2 linked regions of the Ovis aries genome follow. The protein of the gene in region 2 purifies or fractionates together with the protein of the main gene of each other region. This does not show direct contact. Links are inferred from orthologs where the notes say so. Each region holds a gene or a part of one and is shown on either strand. Other genes may lie near its edges.

What was found. Proteins that work in one complex are often made in the same cells at the same time.
Region 1: the proteins of KBTBD8 (region 2) and PKN1 purify together in Homo sapiens (affinity purification with western blotting; 3 studies listed by BioGRID and IntAct, with this or other methods). This does not show direct contact. The link is inferred for Ovis aries from reciprocal best matches to the Homo sapiens genes KBTBD8 and PKN1.

The regions. Positions count from the first base shown.
Region 1 is NC_056058.1:9,642,720-9,646,374, forward strand, and holds part of PKN1 (serine/threonine-protein kinase N1), read right to left. Parts: intron 2,486-3,655; coding exon 2,334-2,485; intron 211-2,333; coding exon 75-210; intron 1-74. UniProt on the Homo sapiens protein: PKC-related serine/threonine-protein kinase involved in various processes such as regulation of the intermediate filaments of the actin cytoskeleton, cell migration, tumor cell invasion and transcription regulation.
Region 2 is NC_056072.1:34,573,062-34,576,716, forward strand, and holds part of KBTBD8 (kelch repeat and BTB domain-containing protein 8), read right to left. Parts: intron 1,043-3,655; coding exon 579-1,042; 3' UTR 1-578. UniProt on the Homo sapiens protein: Substrate-specific adapter of a BCR (BTB-CUL3-RBX1) E3 ubiquitin ligase complex that acts as a regulator of neural crest specification.

The sequences.
Region 1 (3,655 bases), on a different chromosome or scaffold from region 2:
GACCCCTTGTGGGGCTGGGAGCTGAACTCTGCAAGGTGGAACGCAGGGGAGGCGGTCTCCGGGGAGGGACTCACCTTGAGCCTCGTCTGGGGCCGCCTGGCTCTCCAGCTGGCAGGCCTGCAGTGCCCGGCGCAGCTGCATGCGGATGATATCTATCTTGGTCTTACTGTCTTGCAGCATCTGCTGCGCCGTCAGCAGCAGCTTCCGGTCCTGATGGCAGAGACAGGCCGTGAGGGGAAGGCTGGGCAGGTGGGAGTCTGACCACCCGTCCTGGTGCCCACCCCAGGCAGGCTCTGGGTGACCGAGCATTCATGTGTGGGTATGACAGAATGTGTTCCTGGGCGTTGAAGGGAGATGGAGCCTGTGGCATGTGAATCCTGACAGCTGCCACCTAACAGCTGTGTGACTCTGGACAAGCTGCTCAACCGCTCTGGGTCCATCTGCTCATCTGCGGGAAGGGGAGTGTTCTAACAGCACCAACCACCACTGGGCTGAGGATTAAAGGAGGTAATCTGTGTGTAGGGCTCAGAACTGTGCCTGGCACCAGCAGGCATTGTATTCATGTCAGCTGTTAGAATGGCGTATGTGTGTGAGTGTTCCCCATGGTGGGCGTAGCCTTGCCTGTAGCCACATGGGTGAGTCCAGGGGTGACTAGGTGTCAGACAGTTGTAGGCAGTTGTAGGAAGCAGGGTCCTGCTCTTGGTGTATGCAGTTCAAGCTACAGGGTTAACTGGGCATAGCCAAGGACGGTATGTGTGTATAAGTGCCAGGAACTGGTGGTGGATTTTTCCATTGACTTGGTGCTCTGTTCAAAACCAGGCACTGACAGACTTCCCTGGTGGCCCAGTGGTTAAGAATCCACCTGCCAATGCAAGGGACACAGGTTCGATCCCTGGTCCGGGACGATTCCACATGCAGCAGGGCAACTAAGCCCATGTGCCACAACTACTGAGCCGGCACACCCTAGAGGCTGTGCTCCATGACAAGAGAAGCCACTGCAATGGGAAGCCCATGCCCTGCAGCTAGAGAGTGGCCCCTACGCTCCACAGCTACAGAGAGCCTGAGCACAGCAATGAAGTCCCAGAGCAGCCAAAAATAAAAACAGGTAAAATACATTCTAAGAAAGCCAGGCACAGCCAATCTGTGACGAAAGAAGACTGGGTACTGACTGAAGGGGGCAGGAGGGCACTTCTGGGTGACAGGAAAGGTTCGGTAAGGGCGGTGGGTAGCTAGACAGAAATTCACTGGCTGTACACTTAGGTTTTCTGCACTTGACGTCCATCTGTTACACCTCAATAAAAGGTTAAGACAAGTTCTTCATGGTCTGTGTGCTGTGCAATATTCACGTTTGTGTGTGCACTCACAGGCGGGGATGCTCCCTGGGTCTCTAGCTGTAGGTCGAACTCTGCCCGTGGGTGTCAGTGTCTCTGGGTGTTGCTGCCAACCTGTGACTGTGTACTTGGTGTTGGTACAACTGGGGGCACGTCTGTGTGACAAATCCGATCTCTGGGTGTGCGAAACTGAAGATGTGTGTGTCTGTGCGTCTAGGTGTCCTGTTGGCCTGTGCTGTGTGTCCTGGGTGTTCTATGATGGTGAGCATCTCTCCATGTCTAGAGGTGACTGTGGTGGTCTTCCTCCACGTGTTACTGCTGTGAATCTAGGTGTTACGACGGTGTGTGTGTGTGTCTCAGTGGTGATATGCCACTGTGTATCTCTAGAAGCTGTTATGACCATGGGTGTGTCTCTAGATATCATGATGATAGTATACACATCTGCGCTTCTCTGGTGGCTCAGTGGTAAAGAACCCGCCCATCAACGCAGGAGACATGAGTTCAATTCCTGGGTTGGGAAGATCCCCTGGAGGAGGAAATGACAACCCACTCCAGTATTCTTGCCTAAAAAATCCTATGGACAGAGGAGCCTGGTGGGCTACAGGCCATACAGTTGCAGAGTCAGACACGACTGAGCCGCTAAATGGTAACATGTGTGCATCTGGGCGTTGATCTGTGTGTACGTCAGAGACGCCACCAGCAGTGAGAGGCTGCATGTTGCCCGGTCTCCGGGGGTTACTGAGTATGGTGAGGGAGTCTCTGCCACGTGTTGATCTGACATCACCCACAGTCATCCAGTTTCCTCTCTGCCCCCACCCAAGCTGCCCACACTCCAATCCTGCTGCAGAGTCACTCCACAGCCCTCTGTCCCCAACCCAGAGTGCCCCAGCCTCCTGCGGGGCAGATGGAGGCACCACCCCGCCCCCCACCACAGGCTCCAGCCTGGGATGCGCCCACAGGTATACATGCACATGGAGGGGTGTGCACGCACGCTGCTCCCACCTTGGTGCTGCCGTTGCTATACGTCTGGATCATGTTCTCTGCCCCCTGCTTCACCTTCAGCTCGATGGCCAGCTGCTTCTCCAGACCGGCTACGCGGCTCAAGTTGGTGGCTGAGCAGGCAGAGTCACCTGTGCCAGGGGACTGGGGGGCATCTGGAGGGGTGGATGGGGCAAAGTCACCACAGCCCTCCTCTCCAACTGCCCAGGTGCTTTTGCGCCAGCTGAGAGGATCCACCCCAGGCCTGTGAGGAGGAAGAGCTGGGGGCCACAGGGTCCACTCCCCACCAGCCCTCATAGGGAAACCCTTTCAGGGCTGGGGCAGGACCAGTGTGAATGAACACAGGTGTGTGTTAGTCGTTGGTGTGATCGTGTATACCTTTGTAGAGAAGGTATATACACCCCAAAGATGTGCAAGGCTGTGTAGGCGTCAGCGGGTGTGGCTGTGGTTAAGTCTGTGACCTTCAGGGTGCTGGCATAACTGAGTGTGTCTCCCCAGGTGCCAGTGTAACTGTGAGATGTGAGGTGTTAGAATGCCTCTGTGAGATTCTGGGTGATGGGGATGGCTCTGTGCACGTCTGCAACTGTCAGCAGAACTGAGCATTCAGATCTCCTGGCGCTGGTGTGACAGCATCCGAGTGCTGGAACAGCTGGACATGTATGTCTCTGGACAGCTCTGTGTCAATCTCCAGAGAGTGGTATGACCATCAGAGGCACTCTGGGTACAGCTGTGACAGGATGAGGTTTTGAGCGTTGGCTGAACTCTTTCATTATCTTCAAGTGTTGATCCAATAGTGTTGCTGCTGCTGCTAAGTTGCTTCAGTCGTGTCCAACTCTGTGCGACCCCACAGACGGCAGCCCACCAGGCTCCTCCGTCCCTGGGATTCTCCAGGCAAGAACACTGGAGTGGGTTGCCATTGCCTTCTCCAAGGCATGAAAGTGAAAAGTGAAAGTGAAGTCGCTCAGTCGTGTCCGACTCTTAGCGACCTCATGGACTGCAGCCTACCAGGCTCCTCCATCCATAGGATTTTCCAGGCAAGAGTACTGGAGTGGGGTGCCATTGCCTTCTCCGTCTGATAGTGTTAGCCTCCAGCTATTGACACACCAAAGAGGTGTGTGGGTGTTGGGCTAAGTGATGCTGAGTCTCAGGTCTTGTCCAGTTGACTGTGTTAAGTATCAGGCTGTTTATGGGTTGGTAAACTCCTGTGGCAGCGGCTCTGTGTGTCTGAATCTCTGGGTGTTGCTGTGAGCGTGTGTGAGTCCTCAGGTTTTGTGTGTGTGTTGGTGTGATTGCGTATGCATTTATCTGGGCACTGGCTGGCAGTA
Region 2 (3,655 bases):
CAATCCAACTAAAAGCTCTTTCTGAGACTGATTTGTTTTTCCTTCAAACTACTCTAATAACACATTTAAATCCAGTACACGTGAAAACAGTACACAAAATATACACATATTCAGAATGAGGATCTAAGTTAGTGCGTCTCTGTAGCAGAGAGGTCACAGCTAAAGTCCTAGTGATATTGCCTCAAATTTTTACCCGTATTTAAAATAAAAAGTCACATCAAACTATTTTGGATGTCTCTAATCCATAGTACCCTAACTGCTCTTCTAAGAGTGCATAGTTGTCAATTCGTCTGGTATCTCAGTGACTATTCATCACGAAATTCTAGAATGATGTGATTATTTTTATACCAGAAAAAAAAAATGCTGATAATTGCACTTTGTTACCTTTTGCTTACTGAAATGAAAACATCACATGGATGAAAAGAAATCCCTCCCTACACTCATCTTAAACAGCACCCATCTCCACGTGTAAACTCTCTTCAGCTTTCTTAAATACTGACAGCACTTCTTCTTATCACTGAAAGACTAAGTTTCCTCCAGCACAAGATGCCGGTGAGCTCACTAAGGCCTGCCATTCATTAAAGTACTTTCTGAAGACACTGAGGATACAGTTTAGCAACAGCACATTCAAAATGCCGGCCAAGGTCCCAGAGGCGATCTGGGGTCTCATACACTTTCATCCATTGGTCAGTGATATCATCATACTGGTAAAGGGAATTTTTTCTGCTGGTTCTGAAGACATGTTCTTCAACGGTCACTTGAGTAGCTCGAACAAATAAATGGAGCTTATTCTGGAAAAGTACCAGTTTAAGGTATGGGTTTATGGACTCATCACATGGAAAGTCCTTCTTACGAGTCCACTTATTGAGCTCAATATCATAGGCTTCTACAGTAAACATCCGCTGATGATTTCCACAGGTTCCAGCTATGTAGTAGATAGAGTTCTTGTATACAGCTGCTAAGCCCTGGATTCTAGGCACAGTCATGGGGGTTAAGAAACCCCAGTAGTCTTTCTGAGGCTCATAGAAGAGGAAAAACTCTCCTAAAAAAGAGAAAGGGGAAAAAAAAAAGAGAGAGAAAAGAAAACAAGAATGTGAAGATTTAAATATAAGATAGCTTAAAACATCTACATCCCATGGCACAACGTAACATAATATTAGAATCAACCTGATTTGGGGCATTCAAACTGGTAAGTGTGAGAAGTTACTTTGGCTTGATGGCAGTACAAAGGTTAAGAGCTTGGTTTCATTTACTCCATCCAAATATTTGGGTGTTTCAGAAAATTGATTTTAAGCCAGCTCTTATAAAAAGTATTATTACTAATGGTTAGCCAGTAAGATCAAAATATGAATATAGGTTCAATCATGAATAAGCCACTATAAATTTATGTGCTAGTTATTTAACTATAAGGTAGTACATAGAATTGTTCAGATTTCTATGGGCCACTAATGTGTTTACTTTAGAGTTGCTATAAGGCAAAGACAAATATCAAGAGGAGAAAATATGGCCTTAAGCTGATAGAAAACACATACATCATTTAGGGAATTGACTATGAGGCCGTTTCCATTCTGTTTTGACCATGAAAAGGTGTGCTGAGTCACACTGCCGATGTAAAAATGTCGAAAAGAATTAAGCTAGTAAAGATTTACAAGAGCTTGGCTAATTATAACATTAAAATCTTTGATTTGAAAGAATCAAATAAAATCTTTGATATGAAAATCTGAACCCTTTATGATCAGATTAAATGGTACTCCAGTAGCCACTGACAGTAGGGCATGATCTTCTGACTAGTCATGTCAAGTTTATTTATACAAAGAGGCTTTGTTTAGATCAGAAGTACCTACTTCTAAATTGAGCTTCCCCTTGAAAACTGTTTTGAACTAGGTTAACTCCTATCGATAAATATAACTGCCTACCTAATAAAAGTAATGCTGAAAAAATCCAGGTTTTCATAAAACAGTTTGTTAAACTCTCAGCTTTTGCCTGCATATTCCCTATGCTTTTTGACTAAAATGTAACAGGATTCGTAATAAAGAAAACAGGAATGAACACATTTTTACCCTGTAGTACTTAGCTACAAATTTCTTATAAGAAGGAAAGATAATACATTTTAAAAGTTGATTTTTAAACCTAAAGATGACTTTAATAAACTAAAACCAGTAATGGGCAATTAAAACCCTCAGTGCCTCAGATTTGTCTTATATAAAATACAGTCTGATTAAATAATGTTCATTCCAACCCTGAAAATCTGTTAATTCACTGTTACTTTGCTTTAGTATTTAAATTAATATACAACCTTTATATTCCATTTGGGAGTCTTCTAATTAATTCTATCTCTACTAAAAAATAACTGCTTAGCCAGAGAGAGCTTCATCATATTGAATGATATAACCTATCCAACCATATAAGTCAAAGTGTTACTCCCTGAGTGTGTCCACCTCTTTGCCCCATGGACTATAGCCCACCAGGCTCCTCAGGTCATGGAATTCTCCAGGCAAGAATACTGGAGTGGGTAGCCATTCCCTTCTCCGGGGGATCTTCCCAACCCAGGGATCGAACCTGGCTCTCCAGGACTGCAGGCAGATTCTTTACCACCGGAGCCCCCTAGGAAGCCCTATCTAACCATTCTTTATAGATTTTTACATCCATTCAGATACTCCATTTTTTGGCAAGACCAACAAACCTACATCATCCCAGGCTTCCATTCAACTAAAATGAGGCACGAGAAAGTATTCCTTACTCTCTCTGGAGAATTAACTTTACACTGAAGTTTAAACAAATGGGTTTAGGCATTTCTAAGAAATTATAAGTCAAATAAAGGATTACAGCAAAGAACATTAAAAAAAAAAAACTTACAGTGGGGAAAAAAACTAAAAAATCATATGTATCTACACAGAACTTGCACCCCTTTCCTTATTTTTTTAATAGCAGTGAAGGAAAGCATTTATCTATAAGCAGTTAAGAAATGCAAAAGAAGAAGGATGTTGGTATTGTCAATACTGTATTCGGTATTCAAGCAACTAAAATAAGAAACCAAACACAAGGAAAATATTAGCACAAATCAGAACCTTGGATCAAGTATCTTATTTACTGCTACTCAGTTCCTTTTTCTGGTATCTTTACCAAGGTACCAGTTTTCAATTGTTTACACAAAAATTTTTAAGCTAAGTATATTACCATCCCTCTCATCTTATAATGTTAAAAAGATGACATCTCAAAATTTTTCAGTGAAAAAAAATTAAAAACACTGTATTATGGATGACAACATTAACTGCAGTGAAATTAAAATCCTGAACAGTGTGATTTCAAACTCTTTGTAAGTGAGTTTCATAACCTTTGCCATCATAAGACTTCATACAAAATTCTTTGGCAACTGAATAGTACAACTGCATTTGAGGCTTTGTTCTTTTTTTCTCTTTTAAACTAATCCAGTAAGTTCCATAAGAAGAATACTTGCTACCGTCCCTTGATTATATATCATTCAACTGCAAAAAGTTATATATCAAACTTGATTCCTTGTTTAAAGCCTTAAAAATGGAACAGAAATAGTTTTTCTCAAATGCTGAACTATTATTTATGGGGAAAAAAGTTTTCAAAAATACTATGTCACATGATGTCAAAAGACAGTAAGAACATAAAAAAACTTACATGATCA